Linked DNA regions of Caenorhabditis elegans. The protein of the gene in region 1 purifies or fractionates together with the protein of each later gene. This does not show direct contact. Each region holds a gene or a part of one and is shown on either strand. Other genes may lie near its edges. The genes, in order: aka-1 and kin-2.

Evidence for each region.
Region 2: the proteins of aka-1 (region 1) and kin-2 purify together in Caenorhabditis elegans (affinity purification with western blotting, with the first as the bait; one study listed by BioGRID). This does not show direct contact.

What each region holds. Positions count from the first base shown.
Region 1 is NC_003280.10:7,471,405-7,482,071, reverse strand, and holds aka-1 (FYVE-type domain-containing protein), read left to right. Parts: upstream 1-3,534; 5' UTR 3,535-3,539; coding exon 3,540-3,746; intron 3,747-3,797; coding exon 3,798-4,067; intron 4,068-4,116; coding exon 4,117-4,962; intron 4,963-5,011; coding exon 5,012-5,182; intron 5,183-5,226; coding exon 5,227-5,390; intron 5,391-5,435; coding exon 5,436-5,913; intron 5,914-5,958; coding exon 5,959-6,190; intron 6,191-6,241; coding exon 6,242-6,429; intron 6,430-7,239; coding exon 7,240-7,504; intron 7,505-7,559; coding exon 7,560-7,750; intron 7,751-7,796; coding exon 7,797-7,874; intron 7,875-7,922; coding exon 7,923-7,992; intron 7,993-8,039; coding exon 8,040-8,299; intron 8,300-8,349; coding exon 8,350-8,498; intron 8,499-8,543; coding exon 8,544-8,621; intron 8,622-8,671; coding exon 8,672-8,780; intron 8,781-8,825; coding exon 8,826-8,924; 3' UTR 8,925-9,343; downstream 9,344-10,667. Other genes in the region: cah-2 (Putative carbonic anhydrase-like protein 2), read left to right, coding at 1-85, 128-194, 546-700, 755-886, 934-1,023, 1,069-1,155; ubc-6 (UBC core domain-containing protein), read right to left, coding at 1,564-1,742, 1,790-2,127, 2,175-2,280, 2,333-2,417, 2,472-2,677, 2,767-2,797.
Region 2 is NC_003284.9:5,970,208-5,980,856, reverse strand, and holds kin-2 (cAMP-dependent protein kinase regulatory subunit), read left to right. Parts: upstream 1-3,002; coding exon 3,003-3,123; intron 3,124-3,182; coding exon 3,183-3,265; intron 3,266-4,045; exon of another isoform or gene 4,046-4,184; intron 4,185-6,573; exon of another isoform or gene 6,574-6,595; coding exon of another isoform or gene 6,596-6,673; intron 6,674-6,945; exon of another isoform or gene 6,946-7,061; intron 7,062-7,188; exon of another isoform or gene 7,189-7,323; intron 7,324-7,652; coding exon 7,653-7,859; intron 7,860-7,923; coding exon 7,924-8,037; intron 8,038-8,083; coding exon 8,084-8,197; intron 8,198-8,241; coding exon 8,242-8,356; intron 8,357-8,422; coding exon 8,423-8,626; intron 8,627-8,989; coding exon 8,990-9,162; downstream 9,163-10,649. UniProt on the Caenorhabditis elegans protein: Controls the rhythmic contraction of enteric muscles probably by regulating G-protein coupled receptor aex-2-mediated calcium influx in GABAergic DVB neurons.

The DNA.
Region 1 (10,667 bases):
AGCATATAATAGTGCACTTTATCCAAATTTCAGTGTTGCAATGACATCACCAAGAGGGCTTCTTGCAGTTTCTGTAATTGTTGATGTAAGTACTTATACTTTTTCTAAAGTCAAAATTTGTATTTAGATTGGAAAGACTACATCTGTGGAGTTACGAAGATTAACGGTTGCGTCACAGAGCATTAACTATAAAGGTGCGTGTTTTTTCAATGGTACAGAAAGTATATAATTGAAAATGAAAAACTCAAAATCTTCACTCAAAATACCGGATGACCGGTTTACAGTGTAAGATCCTTTTTGTTTGGCATCTGGAACATGGTGCAACCATATTTTTAGAGTTTGTTCTACATGAATACTATTTCAATCTTGGTGTGAAAAATATAACTGCTAAATTTGGAACGGAAAAAAAAAGACAAGGTGGTCTGGGACCCACTGGAAAAAACCTGTGCCTTTAGCATTGCCTTACCAAATTACGATAACAAGAAATATTTCATAAAATCAAACGGCATTTTCAAACTGCGTTAAAATTTAGATTCATTTTTCAGGCCAGACTACAAATCTCACTGATTTTCAACCATCTGCACTTTTACCAAAAACCTCTCACTATGTGACATACGAAGGATCTTTAACTTTTCCCGGATGTCATGAAACTGTCACTTGGGTTATTTTAAATAATCCAATTTATATAACCAATGATGATGTAAGTCATAAATGAATCTAATGCAAAGGGCTGAAATAAATTGAAACATTTCAGCTTCAAATTTGGAATGAAATGCAAAAAACAGAAACAAAACAACCAGAACCATCATATATGACTCCTGCATATCGTCCATTGAAATCGTTAAATGGCCGTCTCGTTAGAACAAATATAAATGTTGGATCAAAAGTGAGAAAACTTGGTCTTCCAAATCTTTAATATAGTTAATTGTTCAGCAGTCTACTGTATCTTCAAGTTGTCCATCGAATGTTTACGTGGAAATGGGGTACCAAGCGAATCCTGGTAGAAATAAGCGGAATGATTCGGTAAGATACACGTCGCAGATAAATTTTAATATTTTATTTCAACAGGTTTCTCGAAGATATGTTCCAACATCGGAAGTTTTCGAAATCGATAGCATTCGTCCTGATGATGTTTCCAAAGCCGGTTCATTTTAGTAAATTACTGTACATTCTCTACTCTTCTTTCACTTTGAAAAACTTCGCGTTCTTGCTCATTCTTTCTCCGAAAGATTTAACTATTGATCTGTGTATTTCTGTATTTAATGACACTTTGGAACTATAAAATACGGGTTCGATTTTAAATGAAGTGTTTGACTCTCTTTCTGTAGAATTTTGTGATATTTTTTGACTGAACAAATAGTTAAAACCAATTTTATGAATAAAAAAGAACTCAAGAAATAAGAATCACAAAGAAAGATACTCAAATATTTTGTGATAATTTCATTAGAATCTAAATACTAACTGAGAGGAGAGAGCCAAGAAATAACTGGCAAGTGATTGCACGAAGTTTGATTTTAGAAAATGGAAAAAGTACAACGGGATTGAATAATATTATACATGTATTTACAACTCGGAACCGTCTTTTGGTGAAGTTAGATTATCGACAAGGAAGCGACGAGCCAATAGTGTGAAGAAAATAGCGAAACACAAAGCGATAACTGGAATCTTGTATAGAAGGGTATAGTCAAAGTTTGTTGATGCCAAGCGGGGAGCGTGGTGTTGGAATACCAGAGGTTGTGGATCTGAAAATATAAATTATTTTCAAGACAAAATGTTTCAATTCAAGTACCTCGAATGGGTTGGACAGCAGGTTGTGCGACATCTGGTACTTCTGATGAATTGACATTAACAGTAGTACCTTCTTCTCTCTCATCTGCATCTTCTTCTGATTCTTCGACATTTTCTGTTGGGACCGAGCTTGTTTCTTCACTTGGCTCTGTTTCTGTCGGGTTCTTTTGATTGTTGGCTGCTTCAACTTCTTTTTTAACAACAGATTCATCTTGAAACTTGAGTTGGGCAGCAAGAGTTTTCGCTTCTTCGGTTTGTTTTAATTGTCCATCTTCAGTTATCGGAAGAAGCGCAGTTTTCATGACACATCCGCATTCTTTACATTTCCACTCACAGCTCCTATAAATACGCTACTTGATTAAAAACAAATAAAAAATGAGACTCACAATTTGGCTAAACGCTGGCGCTCTTTGGGAGGATAATCCAAACTACCAAGCGCGCCTCCTGGGGTACTTGGCAGGAATCCAATCAACGCGAGAAGAGCTGTACGAACTGCAAAATGTATTAAAAAGTCTTAAAATGAATAGACCATTGTAAAACTTACTGCTCCAAGATGGTAGCCACGTTTCTGGGTGATATCCCGAAATCGAAAGGCATACTTTCTTATTTAGCTCAAATCGTCCATTAGGCTGTAATGAAAAATTGTGTAGACTATGTAATTGCAAGGAATAAACTGAACATACCGTAAGAAGTATCAAATTTGGCGGTTTCATCGGGTAATCTGCTGGAAATATAATTCTACCATGATAAATTCCGCCTTCAAAGTCAGTCCCGAGAGTACCACGAATCGTGAAGTGCCATTCAAAAAGATTGTCTTCCATTGGTTGTGCATGATACATTTCCGTTGGCTGTCGCAGTTCCATGGCTTCCTTCATGAGCCTCCGCACACCTGTAACGGAAAACATTTTAATCGGTTTATCAGAACTTTTGTTTAAAACAAACTCGTTTGTTTTAGTTGCTAAATTTGAAAAGACTCACCGGCATTTTTAGTGTTGTACTGCTCACTCATTTTATTCTCTAAATTCTCGTACTTTCAGTCAAATGACAATAAATGAAGACGGAAATGAGAAAAAAACTGGAAAACCGAAACCAACGTCAGCGAGACCCGAAGAACTCGGGGGATGTCCAATTGGGGGTATTACCAACTCGGGGGATTGGCCCCGCCCACAGAACCGTGGCTTGCAATACGCCCATTTCTGCAACTGCCGCACGGTTTTAAAATCATTTTTTTCTTGTTAATTCTCGCTCTATTGAGAAAAATACAGTTTTAAAACCGTGCGGCAGTTGCAGAAATGGGCGTATTGCAAGCCACGGTTCTGTGGGCGGGCCAATCCCCCGAGTTGGTAATCCCCCCAGTTGGACATCCCCCGAGTTCTTCGGGTCTCACGTCAGCTGAAAAGAATGTTCACCGTCACGTCAAATTGCACACATTCTTTTTAGAAGACACCGTCACGCCAAATTGCGGACAACCGACCACTTGATCGCATTTTCTTTTCTCTCTTGTTGACAAGACTTCCGCGTCGTAAAAGTAGTCTTTACACGATTTTCTGTCCGTTTTTAATTCTGAAGAAATTCCTAAAACGCTATCCTTGCTTAAATCATATTTCTAAAACGCTGGATATTGATTTTCTCTTCGCAAAAACATTTTCCTCCGCATGAACTTTCATACGACAATTTTTTCGGTTTCATAATGATTTTAACATTGACTTGAATATCCGTGTTATTTTTTCAATAATATTCTTGCAGTCACAATGGAGGAAGTACCTGACATGGACGACCTTCTCGACGAAATGGAGTCAGACTTGGTCAAGAAATGTTGCAGTGTTCAATCAAAACCTCTCTTGCCACCAACATCGATAGGAATGCAACCACGTGGCATAAAACACAATCCGGCTCCAAGAACTGTCGTAACCGTTTCAAAATTTGTGATTAGTGAGGATATGAATGAACAGATGGAAGTAAGATCTCCCTGCACTTGTTTTATCTTACAATTACACATTTGTTTCCAGGGCAACATCAATATTGACACTTCACAGCTTCCAAACACATTTCAAACTAAATCAAGTTTTCCGCCTAATTCAGATGAAAGAAATATAGGAAAAGAGAATGAAGTTTCGGCACGTCAAGAAATTGCTCACAAGCTCAAATCTGTTCATAATTATTCCGACGCGACAAATTTCGATCCTTCCAAAAAAGTCATAACACAAAAATTTTCTCAAGAATCAGAACCAGAGTCTGAGCCAGAACCAGAACCTGAAGAAGTATCAGAAGTAGAAGAGGTATGTAATTTATTATAAACGGAAATAAATTATAAATATAATTTTTCAGGATACTCTTGTTCCGGAAACACAAATTATTTCAAATCTCAACGCCACTGCAAGAGACACGGAGCCTACTGCCACAATATCAAAACCAAATCTCGATTTAGATACCGAAATGGAAGATATGCTGGCATACCTAAATGACGAGAGCGTCGATAAGTCGAGTTTGAAAGATAAACCTGCGAGAGAGGAAGGAGGACGTGATTCCATCGAAGAGTCAGCAAATGAATCAGCACTTTATCAATTTGCTGATCGTTTCTCCGAACTGGTAATTTCCGAGGCTTTGAATCATCGGAAAATGCATTATGATCCTGCTGTTAAAGAATTTTACGAAGCAAATGATTCAGTGCCCGATGTATTTGCAATGAGTCTCGATAGTACTCATTCTTCTCTTAATTCTTTCAACGCAGATAATCACAATTATCTTTCTGAGCCGGAAAATTCTTCTAAGAAAGAACGAATGCAATCTGTAGCGGAAGAAAATGAAGCTAGTGAAGAACCGACACAAAGCTCTTCGGAAACAGAGAAGAACCTTCAAAACGAGAAAATCGATGTTGAATTTATTGAAAACTCTGAGGCGATTGTGCAAAATGAGTCAGAAGATGTTCCAGAGTCTAACTCAACCAGCGGAACTGTTCTTGAGAATATCGAAGACCATTTAGAATCTGATGTTGTAATCGAGAATGGTTCTGAATCTTCTTTTGTGAATGAGAAAATGAATGAAGCCTCGACTGCACATTTAGTTGCTGAGCAATCAGTCGTAGATGATTCGGAGATTCACTTGGAAACTGAAGATCAGGAAACATTGTCACCAGAAACTGCCGACTCATCAACAAATAAAAATTCAGATGAAGTTAGTCAAGAGTGTTTATTAAGTAGATTTAATTAATTACTTTTTACAGTTTCCCGATGAAGGTTCTCAATCAGAAGCATCAGTAAACAACGAAGAAGTGTTAGAAAATGTTGAACATGTTGAAGATGAATGCACAGTAGTAGATGCTGTCAATGAAAACACGGATTCCTCAATCGAGGAGAACGACGAGGAAAATACTGAGAATCGTCCACGCTTTGATGTTTGTACACAAATATACATCCAGAATAATTTCAATTGTTTCAGTCTTCCATAGCCACCATTCACGTTCTTCACGAGTCTGACTCAGACGAATCAGCAACGCCACGAAGAGAAAGGAGACTCACCGAATCAGAATTACAACTCGGAAAAACATCACCGTATTGGATTCCAGATTCTGAATGCCCAAATTGTATGCTGTGCAATACAAGGCAATAATTTATTAGGAATAGGCCTCTAGTTTGTATTTTTTTCAGGTTCACAATTATTACTAGACGCCATCACTGTCGTGCATGCGGACGCGTTCTCTGTGGTTCTTGTTGCAACGAAAAAGCTTTCCTGGAATATCTTCAAGAAGAAGGCAAAAAGCTGCAAGCTGTGCGAGTATGTAAACCATGTTCTGCAATGCTTGCCAGAATTGAAACCCATGAGCAAGATGAACAGAGACGGAGAGAATCAATCGCTTCTGAAAATGGGTTGAGTGGAGATGAAACGATCAGTTCTATTCCAGCTGCTTCCACCTCAATTCCTCGCGGTGTACTGAAAACCAAACCGACGGTACATGTTAATGAAGAAGATGGTGCATCAACAAGTAGTCAAGCTCACTCGACATCGGGAAATGTGTCAGATTCTTCAAGAAGATCGGTAATGTTTAGGGATGGAGTCCGTCCAGGTGCACCTGCCGATGAAGGAAATCCAGAAGAAGAACGATCAACTGCACTTAAACCAAAAAAGGTTTGTGAATTATGTTAGATTATGCCAATGAACGAATGGTTTTAGAAGTCAAGGAAACGGACATCAGTAGTCAGAAGAATAGCAGAATTACGGATGGAGGATGAACTGGCTTGTGCACTTCCGAAAGAAGGAATAACTAAATTATTAATTGTGAAACCTGATTGTGAACATCCGAAATTCGAAGACGCATCCACTGTTCTTGAAACACTTTGCAATTTTTCCGTCGTCACTGTCGTTCTCAAAAAAAATTTGAATTGCACTGTACAAATTTTTAACAGTAAGAATACATTTTAATGTTTTTTTTTGCAAATAAGGTTTATTTTTCCAGATCCTAACTTCGGTCTCGTCTGGGCTGTATCAACGCAAGGTTTCGCTCAAATTGGACTCGACGAATTGATGTTTTCATGGACTTTGAACGATCAAGAAAAACAAAAAGTTGATGCAGAAGAACCCGAACTTGATGAAAAATCTGCATTGGTAGTTTTACCTCTCCCAGTTCTACATCGTATATCATTGGTGAGTATTATTATTTGCATGATCTAAATTTCGAAAACGAAAAAATAAAAAAATACGAAGCGGAAATGAAAAATTTTGTAAGATTGTAGCGTTATTTTGAAAAACCTAAGCTTCTTCATCAAAATTGCACCTGAGGCACCACGTTTTCAAGATCTGTTCAAAAACAAGATCTACGAAAACAAGATCCACCAAAACAAGATCTACATTTTCAAGATCTACCAAAACAAGATCTACGTTTTCAGGATCTGGCACCGTGCCAACTGCGGTTTTCTCTACGCGCGCGTACGCGTCGCGTGTTGCTAAGCGTAAATTCTAGAAGAAAATTTCAAAAAATATTCGTTTGAACGCTAAACAACACGCGACGCGTAACATCGGAGCATCGTTGTTTCGTTTTCTTCGAGAAAATCGCAGTTGGCACGGTGCCAGATCCTGAAAACGTAGATCTTGTTTTGGTAGATCTTGAAAATGTAGATCTTGTTTTGGTGGATCTTGTTTTCGTAGATCTTGTTTTTGAACAGATCTTGAAAACGTGGTGCCTCTTGCACCTTTTTTATAAATTCGAATGTAGTTTTGTGAAAGAAATATAAAATTTATCAGTTTTTGGGTTAATCAGAATTTTTTATCCCTTTCTAATGCGAAAAATAACTTTTTTACTGAAAAACAATTTTAATTTTTAAAAAAACTCTAAACGCTGCCTCAAAAAAGACGCTATATTTTTTATAAAAGTTAGCTAATTGGTTTAGGAATTAAAACCAGAATTAATCAACAAAAAATCACTATAAAATTAAAATAAATTCGCTTGCATTACAGATCTACACTCAATCCACCGAACATGAATACGCTGGTGTCAGAAAGGTTGAAAATCGTCTGATGCGTGTGCATTCTGTTACAGATCCAACTTATCCATTAACTAAACACATTATGTTTTTCCGGCCTACTGTACAAGTTGGTCTCAAGAATATGCGAATTCCCACAAATCCATTTCTGATTGCTTGTTTCCTGCACGATGATGAACTCAATTGGGCGACAGCTCTTCCTAATCGTTTATTGTATAAACTCGGCGAGAAGTTCAATGGTAAGTAACATTGATATTTTTGTTTATATAATTTTATAATTTTTAAAAATTTCAGTATTCCCAACACCGTTTGTCAATAGTATTGGCCGTGAATCTACATACAGCACTGATGTATCCGGAACTGTATTGAAGGTGTTCACTGACTTCCGGTCTTGGTCTTATAGAATGCGTCACATTTCTGGATGTACAGTCTCGTTGACAAATGATAAAACTGTAATCAGAATTCCAAAATCGGCAATTAAAGAGGTTTATTAGCAAAAGTTTGAAAAATATTTTAAAAAATTGTTTTCAGTTAAAAGATGTTCTAAACTTTAGTCGTTCAATGGTCGCTTGGAGTTGTGATTTGCATTGCGAAGATGATAGTGTACTTGTAAGAGGATTTTTATAATTTACTATCGGAATAATTTCATTGCTTAAGGTTTGTGAGGAAACTGACCCAGGGCTTTATTCGACTCAAGTGTTTGCCAAAAATATTGGACAAAGAGAATGTAAGTTTCTTACTAATAAGAAAAGTTCTTAAATTTCGTTTTTGTAGCTACAAGTGCATCATTTGTAATTCTCGATGGTGGATCGAAAGTCAGTTCACTTCAAGTAAATGTTGTTGAGGATGGTGTTGCTGTAAGACTTCAAAGCGAGCGATTGGAAACTATTTTAAATGCAATTAACGATGGAAACGATGCAGTTGAATCATCTAAAGATATGGAATTTCGTGTCGAGTTTGTCGAAGACGGTAACTGGATTTGTACAGACAGTGATTATTATCCAAAATCGCAGATAGACGGCCTCTATCTCATTGTAAGGATCTGGATCTCATGTTCAAATATTCATTCAATTCCAATTTTCAGAACAAATTTCAATATGGATTGTCTCTCGAAAGAGCTCTGACGCAAGTTCTACAAGTTCAGGGAATAAATGATTATGGAATCAGAATGTCACATGTTTATAATCTCGGTGATGGTAGACTTCAGCCTGAGGAAGAACCTAAAATTTATGGGTAATCAGTAATATTTTATTTTAAACTATGTTCTTCTATTTTCAGAATGATTGAAATTGCTGCGAGGGAATGCGTTGCAATGCTTGAGCCACATATTCAACATTTAATTTGTGCTGGTATTGGGTAAGAATTTTGAGACAAAAAACTTGTTCCGTGATTTCTGATATTTTCAGAAGCGTTTCTATTCGTTTATTCGTTTCGCCGTATGAGTTCGAGTACGATGTTTCGAAATGGCTCGGGTTAGAAGCCGAAAATGACAAATACAAGCAAAGTCTTGATCAGGTATATTTTTAATTTATGCTCAGACCAGAACCCATTGATTTTCAGCTTATTCCAATGTTGTACAATATGGTAGAGTATGTTCCAAATGGTTTTGAAGTCGAATTCGTACTCTCAATTGTGTCTACAAGAGCTCTTCCAATCTGAAACCTTTCGATCCAAATTGAAACATTTTTCTGTTGCCCATTTTCCTAAGAGATTTCCATATATTTCATTACAATGTGCAATCACCCACTTTTAACCTTTTTTTTGTAGAATGCATCCATTTTTACTAGTCTCTCTTTAGACATTCTCAACGCTTATTCGTGTATCCAAATCCTGTGATACTTATTCCATTTTTCTTGTAGTCCCCAAAACACTCCATCTCACTTCTAACACATTTTATACTAATCATGATCGATTTTCTTCTCGGAGGATTTTCAATTATTATTTGATTAGTCGCGGAGTTAACTTGTAATTTAAATCCTTCCGTTTCACCCCCTTGATTTCTCTTTCCGCATCCCATTAATTTTCAATGTTTTGCATAATGATGATTTATAGAAGAAGAAGCAGTTCTCCAATTGAAACCACCGTTTTGTTCATATACTCAAATGCATGCACATTCCAATTGGCATTGACCATCTTCCAAAAGGCAAAGCGAAGTAGAAACGACATATATGAAATAAGTGCTCAAGGCCGAAAATAAATAAATGTCACAACACAGTACAAATAACTCAATTTTTATTAACATTATGCGATTTCATATTTTTTCCGGCTTGGATCCATGATCAACTGCTTTGGACGTCTTCATGTTCGTGTTGGTCGAGCCACTGATCCAACACGCGGACTCGGGCAACGAGCAGTGATGGTGGACGACGACGTGTTGACCTAAATTGGAATCTTATGTAGATTAGATAAATACACTTGTTAGCGAAAGTTTGGTTTTTGTTTTGAGGGTATTGATCATAAAAAAGAATTTCTAAGTGTTTAAACGGAGTATCTGAGGCATGCAAAACTTACATCCAAAACTTGTGAGTCGATTGGTTCTTCCGAGATTGAAAGTTCCAATGACATAGGATTGTCTTGAAATCGTTTTCTGATTTTTACCACAGTTTGGTATCCAGGCGGCGGTCTAGGTATGATGTGAACACGCTCTTGAGACATTTCTACAATAATTATCTTACGATTATCACCATACCACACATTTCAATGAAGGTGGAGTATTACGGCAACACAAAACTCTGAGAATGCATATTCCACAACATATTTGACGCGCAAAATATCTTGTAGCGAAAACTACAGTAACTCTTCTAATGACTACTGTAGAGCTTGTGTCGATCTACGGGATCTCGATTTTTGAAATGAATTTTCTCATTTTTTTCTAAATTTTAATACTCTATTGATAAATCAATGATCAGTAAAAAATTTGTTTTAATTTATATTTCAAAAACTAGCCAGTAAATCGACACTACAGTAGTCTTTTAACGAATTACTGTAGTTTTCGCTACTAGATATTTTGCGCGTCAAATGTGTTGCGGAATACGTATTCTCATAGCATAATAGCGCCAATGGGTATCTCACGTTAATATATGAATGCTCAAATACTGTTGAGGCCGTGTAGAATGTATGTAGTCGGTGTCGATCACGTCTCCAGTACCTCGCCCTCTCTCCCCGTGTGTCCCAGTAAATCATCTGAATTATGTGTAAGAACGGAATAAGACGAACAAGTGATTACTCAAAAACCTATTTATTATACAACCGCGCCCGTGTGGGTCACGCAGGACTCTAAATAGAATAAAACAAGTAAAAGGAGGGAAATACAGTAAAGAACAATAGAAGATGGTATTAAAGTTCCTTGGTGTTGGTGTAAAAACCCTCTCAATCAATACGAAGGTAATAGTGGGTCAATTA
Region 2 (10,649 bases), on another chromosome or scaffold:
TCTTCCCGCAATACATACCATATAGTTCTGCAAACCGTCACATTTTTTGTTCAATCTAACATGTAGGTGTAGCCAGTGGCAATGCAAGCCAGCAGCAGTTCATAAAATATGCAAAATTTTTTGGGCAACGTCAGAAACCCGCAGAGAGATGAAGAGGGTTACTCGAGACCCCGCACGCATAAAGTCTGTCGCAAAGTCTGCAGTGTGAATTCGAATCGATTTCCGTTTTTTTTTCTGCGTTGTTTTTGTTCGGTCTACATAGATAATACGATCATTTTTAAATATGTAGCAGTCTCGGGGTACAAGTTGTCAAGTGAAATCGTTGCTAATTATGATCCATGTTCTCTGTGCTCACGTAATATTCTATATTAGACTGTTTGTTTTTGTATTCAAATGTAAAATACAACCTTTCTAAAAATTTTGAAATTATTTCCTCTCATTTTTAAAATTAATTACACTTCTGTTTATTCATTCATTTTGATACAAAGTGGTTCAAAACAATGAGGGGAAATAATACACAAGTACCGTTTTAATTATGGCAAAAACATTAAAACTATATATTACGAAGAAATCACTGAGATTTTTAAAAGATATTATTATAATAATTAAAAGTGGGGCAAAAGATTCCACTGCTTTTTGACTCGAAAAAAACTTGCAAAGGTTTATTTTTAAATATATTTTATTATGATATTTAGTCATTTTAGCGTTATTGATTTTAAATTGTTTCATTTTTTATCTCCCCACTGTCTGTACTCCACCTAAAAATGTTTTTGTGAGATATATCATTTAAAAAATGTATTTTTGCAAGACTTCTTGATTTTTCCAAAAATAAAAGCCCGAAAAAAATTATATTTCTGAATAACAGTTTTTGTTGTAAAGTTGTATCAATACAACAACATGACTCACATTCACAACACACTATACGTTTTTTTTCTGTAATAATGTCATGCGGGTTGTATTTATCTTCACAATACTTTTTTCCAAGACGTATCCATCATAAAATCAAACAAAATTTATTATAGTAATTTGGAAATTAGAAGATTGATTAGAAAAATAATTTTTATAACGATTTTGACATTGAGAGTTTTTGATTGAGAAGTGATTAAAAGAAAGAATTTATGGGCGCTGGGCGGTTTCTTATAAAACTACCTAATTCAAACATTCCTCTTTTCTGTCACAGGCAGAGGGTCTCCTGAGACCTAAAAAACGGGTGGGCGCTCCACGAAGAAGACGCCGAAAAAAAAAAACAATTTCCCCGGGCGTCGTCGTTGTCGTTGTCCCTGCCTCTGTCTCCTCACGCTTCTTCCATGATTCATAGGGCTCCTTCTCCTTTTTGCTTTGCTTTTTCGCGATTTCTCAGTTTTTTGTCCCGTTTGATGCGTTCCGTATAATATAGAAACGTTGCTTTTTATCCAACAAAACTTTTACATTTTTGTACCAAAAATCCGACAGATTAGCCTATATGGATTAAAGATAAGCTGAGAGTCGGCTGGTATGCTAACTTGATTACCAGCATGCAATAGGATAAAAAATATTGTTCAGTTCTCCCTGTTCCTATTTCAATTTACGTCATATGCCAAAGACCAAAGGCCACGGGTGGTGTAGAGCAAGAGTCCGAGGGGAAATGCCCCGTTGTAATTGGGCGATAACATGAAGACACCCTCGATTTCATCGATAGGTCATTTTCACATTTTCACATTGTGATATTGATTTCTGAACGTTTAGTTTAGTTTATTATCATCACTTGTTTCTCTCGCATGCAAAAAGGTTTACAAACCCGCCTAGAAACCGCATAGGGAGGGGGAAGAGGCGAGAGAAAAGTTAGCATTCGTAGGTATTAAATGCATTTTCTAAAAAATAGGGTTTGAACAACAAATAATTGCTGTTTTTTGCTTGTACTTAAAATGGGCTCGAATTAGCATTCGAAATTCAAAAAAGACCAACAATTGATAGATTCACCAGTTTTGCTAAAGTTTCCAAGTTGCAGAGAATGAAAATTATATATATATTTTTTAATGGAATTATCATTTTTATTGATTGTTTGGTTCACATTATTTAGTTGATTCAAGTGTGTTAAAAGCCGATAAGTACTGAATTTCAATTATGTTTGGTAACCTATCAACTTTAAATGCACCCTTATTAACAAAAAAACGTGAGATAAATTATAAAAATATGCAATACAAATGATACTTTAATGCAGTTAATTTGCAACGCAGAAAAGTGTTTCCCAAATTTTAAACGCCCCCTCGAACGGAATAGCTTATTTATTTTTTGAGAAGTTCATTTGAGTACATTTCGAGTCTATACATGCAAACAATTCAAAACCGTATACATCAAAATTATTTCTATACATTTGTAGCTGCTTGTAACTCTATATGAATTAAACAAAAAAATCTCAAATCAAATTCGTCCGTTTCCGCGACATATTGTAACCGTTGATCTCCTATCAAAAGAGGAAATTCCCTTTATCTTTAAATTATAGTTTCCGGTCTCAGTACTTGCGCGACGACGTTTTTCATTCTGCTAATTATCACCATCAATCATCATATTTACTTTCCGACCATCTGTGTGATCAAAGTGATGAACTGAACTTGTCTTCAAATTTCAACAAATCAATTATCTGATTTTTCTCTTTTTCTCTTTTTCTTTTCTCTCTTTTCTCGTTCTCTCGCTCAACCAAGTTTGGGTATCAATTTTCTTTTCTTGCTCCTCCTCTCTGTTTTTTCCTTCTTCTCCACTTTTTCTTCCTTTTTTTGCTGCTCAATTCTGCTTTGATCTACTGGGAAGGCTGTGTGCCAAGATTTTCCAAAATGTTGTACACTGGCGGGTGTATCAGCATTCATTCGGTAACCGCTCATCTCGCTCTTTTCCGCGGCATCCCCCGTCAAAAGTCTGTTACCTTCCCCACCAAGTTTTCATCTCATTTCAAACGTGTGTTTTCTGCTATTTTTCTCGCATTTTTGTCTCTTTTGTTTGTTTAAAACAAGAAATGACTGAAAATTATGAACAATTATTCAGGTGACATTGTTTTTATGTCGGGTGGAAACGAAGAGGATCAGTTGGCACAATGCCAGGCCTATGTGCAACGACACAACATTCAGCAGCTTGTCAAAGAAGCAATTGGTGAGTTTTTGAAAATCTAGCAAAATAATAACACGAAAGTAAGAATACGATTTTTCCAGTTGTTCTGTGCATACACAAACCCGACAACCCGGTTCTCTTCTTGAAGGATCATTTTGAAAAACTCAACGAACAACGAGCACAGGTTAGTTGAGTTGCAGAGAATTTAGAAATTGAAAAAAAAAATATTTTCAACATAAAAGTGAGAAGAATGACAGAACCAGTTCGAAATTATGACCAGAAAAAGTATTCAAATTTGCTGACACTGAAAGAGTATTGACGTGGTACGCCAAAAAAGTTAATTGTTGCGTTTTGAAACGGTTCTTCTTATCGGAAAACGTAGTGTTGCATAAGCGTATTATAACGTTTTGAGTACAATTTGTGATGGGGGTTTTACAATTCTTCAGGATTTTTATTTAATTGTTCGTGTTTTCTGAACCATGAAACTCGGTTTCAGACTTTCAAATTTGAAATTCACATAGCTTTATAATTATATCATTGTTCTAGATCAGTGAAATTTGTTATTTTATTCTCATTCATAGTACCAAGTTTTTGAGGCATCGAAAATCTCGTTTGACTCGCTTCAAATATTTGAATATTTTATCCGGTTTTGTGGGAGCCAAGCGTCATGATTTTTTGTTTCGATCTTGTTTTTAATGAGATGCACTGCAAAAAAAAGCTTGAGAAAAAACTGGAAAATGCAAATTAGGTCAAACATCTTCCTGTGTCTTTTTCGTCATTCCTCCGCGTTTATGGCTCGAATCAATGAAAATGAAGCTTCACTTCGTTTTTTTTTTCGTCTTGTGTTGCTTCTTTTTTTCATAGAAAGCAAGCCTTGTGTATGTCGTTTTTCCGTCGGGGTCCTCTGGAGAAAGAGAAGAAAAAGAAGAAGAGGAAGAAGAAAAAGAGGCACTAGTTAGCTGGGAAAACGAAAGGATGAAAGAGAGCGGATAAGGCGTAACGAAAACGAAGAGAATTGAGAGAATGGGCCCTTTGAGACGAGTCCCAATGAGCCCTCCAGAGCTGTCCATCGAGCATCGAGCGCCCGCAGCCATTGGCTCAGCTGCCGAGCTCTTTTCCCTTTTTTTCGGGTCCGGTTTGTGAAGCGGAGAGAAAGTGACGAAGAATGAAGAAGGCCTCGGGGCAGATTTCTCTTGCTCTTCGTTGCTCTTCGGACGATCGCATTTTTCTTCTCCTTCTGCCGCTCCTTAATGCTCCATGCTTTTTGTTCTCCGTTGTTTTTTCAACACCCTCGCATTTTGTGTCTGGAATTTTTGTTTCGAAAATAATTGAAGTAGGTAGTATTTTCACAAAAATAACAAAAGTCAAAAGACTAGTCATAAATCTTTAGGAGGTCAGGTGAAAGAAAGGGAAGAGGAAACAGTAACAGTGACGACGAACCAAACATCATTGTCACGTTCTTTGAAGATGTGAAATTCTAGATTTAACCTTTTTTTTTCTCTGACACCTAATTTTTAAAATTCCAAAACATTTTGCTTTTTTTTCTGTCACAAATTTTAAACGCTTCAAACAAAAAACAACATTAGTCATAATCCAGGAAATATAAGGTATTACAAACTTTTTATGACGTCATCGTTACTTGCAACATTCTGAAAAGGTTCTCGAAACGATTATATATATATATATATATATATGATGAAAAACAACACAAAAAGTTCGGAGCTCTAGAATTTCAATTTGGGAACATTCAAAAAAACACAATAAAACTAAAACACTCGAGTCCACTTTTCACACTCCAATTTTTATGTCTTTTTTTGTACACATGTGTTTCAGTTTTAGACACAGCTTATCAAAATCGAATTGGGGCGGTTTTTTGGAATGTGGTCATTAAAAAAGTGTGTTTAAATTTCTATTGAAAAATTTGAACGTTTGTATTTTTTTTTGAAATTGTAAATAGAAATATTAATTTTGAAATGGAAAACTAAGTTTTGAAATTTAACATACTAAATTTGCCAATGCCATTCACTAAAGGACCATAAAGTGTGCGTACCTTCCATTTCCTGCGTCTCTCAACATATTTCTTTTGCATACTGTTCGGACGTTTATCGATCTTTTATGTTCTCTCTTCTTTCCAACCGCTTCCCCAGAAAAATAGTTTATTTTAAACACTCGTTTATGAAAATTTTTTGGCAAATGCTGATACACAATTTTTTTTTCATTTTTAAAGTTTTACAACTTTTATTTTCGAAAAACTAGGAAGTGCATACTCCGATATTTTCTATCTTCTCTCCGCCTCGTTTTCGTTATATTTGTCTGTCAAATTCAATAATCGAATAAAATTTGCCCCGAAGGCAGCTTCTATCCGGCCGAGTGTTTTTATGACCGCCTCAGAGATAGAGAACGATGCCAAGTTAAATGGAGAGAATGAAAAGAGTCACGCTTTTCTGATGCTAAATGACTTTATTGATTTTTGAGAGAAAAACTATTCGAATAAATAGCTCGTTTTTTACGAGGTTTTATTGAATATGTTCGAAAACTAGTAAAATGGGTTTTTTTTTCAAACGAATTGAAATATTAGTCATACCATTCTCTTTGTTTTTCTCCACGTAAAAAATGCCTCGAACGTTATCATTGTGTCATTTTCTATAAAATCAGCTGATTTTTATTTTCTGTACCACAGAAACTTTTATGAATTCTAAGAATAACGTGGCAGATTTTTAAGATAGGGAATTTGTCATTTATTGGATATTTCTCAATGTGTGCATAATACTCTCTGTGAGCACAATACACTCATCGTAAATTAACTTCGATGCGACAAATCAGAAATTAAATAGTTACTCTTAGAAATACTGAAATTGAATTTTTTTTTGTTGTTTCATAAAACAACATGAGTAAGAATAGAGGAACAATTCGAGACTATTTATTTTCTGTCTAAATGTTGCGGCTGCTATAGTAAATTGCCGGTTGCTTGAGACAAAAATGCATGAAGTCGTTGTGCCCTCCACCTACTAAATACAACTGGCAAAGCTCTTTCAGATATTGACATTCTTACTTTTTCCTCTTCCGTCCTTTCCTCTCCCTCTTTCTGTTTCGTTCATTTTGCGCTACCACAGCAAGAAAAACATTCACACGCCTTCAATTAGGTCTCATGTGGAAACCCGGTCCGATTTTGATTTTCGTCTTGTTTTTAGCCTTCTCATTCTACCTCCAACTACAACATACTACTCAATGTTTTGTCATAGTTGTTGTAGTTGAAAGTTCGACGCACACACAATTGCCTTATTTGCCTCCTGACGTGTTCCTTCATTTACAATAGTCATAGTGTTTGTTTTTTCAAATATTTATTTGACTGCTCACCACAACTCTGGTTTCCATGGATATGTTTTATTCCAAAACATCTGCTTCTTAGAAAATTGCCGTTACATTCCTCTTTTTTCACCTACATAGACTTTTTCTTATTCTTTTAACCAAGTTATTAATCAATATTGTCAGAGTATCACCACCAAGGAATGTGATGGGGCAGCAATTGAGCAACCGACGAAACTCGCAATCTGTGGGCGCCACAAAAAACGCAAAGACTCCAAAGCCTAAGGTGATAGTTTTTTGAGAGGATAATCACTTTTTTCTTATGGATTTTTGGATTTCATGCGTAGTTCGAATTAATTCTCTGATTAGAATGGCTTCTATGTTTTCAAACATCACATTTAATAAAATTTCTTGAAAAAATCAAGTTAGAAATTTGAACTGTTCAAAACCTGATCTTTTTAGGCAATTTTAAACGGATTCTGCAAACTTCTAGAAATAAAAAAAAACAAAAATAAAGGGAGACCTCAAAAATAAGAAATTGTTTTGCACAACAGAAACAAAAGTAACCAGGTGTCTGCTAGTATGATCGAATCTCAGTCACGACGGATGAATGATGAGCGGCGTGGAATGAAATGAAAAAAGGGGAAGCGCTGGAACCTTGATGGAGCACTAGCAAAATTGTAGGACGAAGAGACTTGCGAGAGCTACGAGTACGCATTTGAAGCACATTAGACGGCGCGGCAGCTCGCTCGGCGATAGATTGGCTCAGTGTGCACCGCACTTCATATTTCCTTGCGTTTTTCTTCTTGCTTCTTTCCATTGAAAAATTCTTCCAATCCATTTTCAATTCAGTGGTTCACACCTTAAAAATGGAGTTGAACATGTACCGGGTGAGTGAGCGAGTGGGTGTATTTACTTTCTGCTGTGTTGTTTTTATTGCGCAAATAGACAGGCGGAGACGGTTGCCCTGTTGCTAAACAGAAACAAGTAAGTTTGCGGCGTAACATAATTTACATTACCTGGTGGCCCACTTAATACGATTCCCGATTTACAATTTCCAACCTCAAGGTTAACGTTTTGTCGAAACAAAAAAAAAATAGCAGAGGGTCAGTAATTGACTGAACTGGTTCTGGTCATTTTATATTTTGATTTTTCATTCATTTTTTCCGTCGCTGAACTAACTGAAACAGGAAAATTCCAAAATGGTTTGTTATTTTGCACATCTTTTATTTTCAAACTTTCCTTATCAAATCTTAACATTTCAGGAAGGAGGAAATCCGGACGCTGCTGATGATGACGACATCATTGTGGAGCCACCAAAGAGATCAGGTGGACGCAGAACCGGAATCTCTGCCGAACCAATCAAGGAGGACGATACCGAGTACAAGAAGGTTGTGATTCCAAAGGATGATGCTACAAGAAGGTCGCTTGAGTCAGCCATGAGGAAGAACTTGCTCTTTGCTCATTTGGAGGTGAATAAATTCCCAAAAAAATTTCTAATAACATTAAATTTTTATTCAATTTTTTGGTTTTTAGGAGGATGAGCAAAAAACCATGTACGATGCCATGTTCCCAGTTGAGAAGTCTGCTGGAGAGACCATCATCGAACAGGGAGAAGAAGGAGATAACTTCTATGTTATTGATAAGGGAGTGAGTTGCTTCTCTCTAAGAGCTTATCCGTACTTTCATATTTAAGACCGTTGATGTCTACGTCAATCACGAGTACGTTCTCACCATCAACGAGGGTGGATCATTTGGAGAACTTGCTTTGATCTATGGAACTCCACGTGCTGCAACCGTCATTGCCAAGGTGGCAAAATGCCACTCAAATTCATTTTATATATTTTCTTCCAGACCGACGTGAAATTGTGGGCCATCGACCGTCTCACCTACCGTCGTATCTTGATGGGATCAGTAACAAAGAAGAGAAAGATGTATGACGAGTTCCTCTCCAAGGTTCAAATCTTGGGTAAGTAAATTGAAGAACCAGAGAAGAAAAATGAACTTAAGCCGAGACTCATCAATCATCTTTCAGCCGATCTCGACCAGTGGGAGCGCGCTAACGTGGCTGATGCTCTTGAGAGATGCGACTTCGAGCCAGGAACTCATGTCGTCGAGCAAGGACAACCCGGAGACGAATTCTTCATCATTCTCGAGGGAGAAGCCAATGTGTTGCAGAAGAGAAGCGACGACGCACCATTCGACGTTGTCGGACATCTTGGAATGTCGGACTATTTCGGTGAGCAATAATCAGAAAAAAAGAGAAAAATTGGAAAAAAAATGAACAAACATGGAAAGATCAAAAAACTAATTGTATTTGGCAATATGCGGGTGATTCAATAAATGCAAACATTTTTTTTATTGAAATATAACTCTAGACAAGATTTTTGTGACACTTCATATATCAATGTAGGCTTTTCATGAAATGCAGGCGCGGTTTCAGGGAATGACGTCGCTTTGCATTTTGGTGTTAAATCAAAACCCTGGTGTTTGCACCAGAGCCCGACACGTTTTGATTTTTGAACCGCACTAATCAGTAGGCGTGGGTCGCGACCCTTGTCGACGCCTGAATGAAAGCTTTATTTCAATGTCACAATTTCAGGAGAAATCGCTCTTCTTCTCGACCGCCCACGTGCCGCCACCGTTGTTGCCAAAACCCATCTCAAGTGCATCAAGCTGGATCGTAACCGCTTCGAACGTGTCATGGGACCAGTTCGTGAGATCCTGAAGAGAGACGTTTCAAACTACAACTCATACGTCAAACTGATGACCTAATCGGATTACAATCCGTTTGCCCCGCATCTTCCTCATCACCGTATCTTCTTTTCCACCTTTTCGCCAAAGTACTCGTAACTATTTTTTGAAAGTATCCCAAAAATTCTTCCTTAGTTTTTTTTTAGTATTGTATTTTTTCCTGTATTTTTTTGGATTTTCTATTATTCTGCATACTGTCTAGACCTGTAACCTTCTTCTCTCACCAACCGTGACATCTTCAAGCTCCCCCCCCCCAATCAATTCGTTCCCTATCTTCATTTCTAGTCAGTCGATGTCAAATTAAATTCTAAATGTCTAAATTTCTAACTCATAGCCAAAACAACATTCATTGTTTTAACCAGCCCAAAATCCTAGTCAGAAGTTTGCAGAAAACTATTTGAAACTCCTCGTGAAAAAGCTAAAAAAATGTTCAACTAGAATAGTTTTAGTTTTTATTCCCTGTGTAACAAAAAAAACAGTTTTGCATGTTTTCTATTCCACCCTAAAATTTCAACATTTTCAGTAGCTTTACAGCTCAATCTTTACCAACCATTTCCTTCAATTCCTATAGGTTAACTCAAAGAAGAAACGAACACCATTCTTCATTAATTAACATTAAGCAGTGAATGCCAAATCTTGTCTTTAATAATATGTAACATATAATTTTATGAGAAATAAGAAATGCGCATCCACAACAATCGTCCCCCCCCCCCCCTACCCAGCACACATTTTTTTCTTATTTCGTTCCACTTCTGAATTCTGAACTCCGTCACCCTTATCCAGCATTGCGAAGTCTCTTATCTACACCCCCTTCCCTCAACATCCAACTTCTTTTTTTTTTCATTTTTATATATTTTTCACATTCATTGGAAATCCGCTGTCATGTCGCCATCTCAATGTTTTCTTGTCTCTTTTTTTTCATTTCTCCACCACATTTTCCACTAGATTTCTGTTATCCAAACTTTTTGTCGGTTTCCCCCGCGCACACACACACAAAAAACAGTATGTTATAAACTATCTATAATGTAATCTTAGAGGTTTATTGGACTAATAAAATTTGGAAGTTGGTGTTATTTGAATTATGAAAATATATAGTTGGCTGATATAATATGTTGAACAAAAATAAATTGGAATAGAGCAACATTTTTGCAGTAACGTGAAACTTGAAAATCCCAACTTTCTACTAAAAAGGTGTGACCAAGGATTTTATTCAAAATTAGTTTACATATATTTTTCAGAAATTAAAGGAAACATTACTCAAGAGGTTACATGTTTGAAAATGTTGGTGGCATACCACAATTTCGACTGGAAATTTTAAAAAATTGAAGTGCTTCATTGTGATACCGGGTCATTTTAGGCAAGTGGATTCATTTTTAACACGTCAAAATAAAATAATCTGCAGTGATTTTTGTGCATTGCAAATTTATATATTGTCCTGTCAGTTCCCATTATCCTATGATTTATTGAAAGTAATTTCCTAATGGCAAAAAAGTTTGATGTGTAGGAAA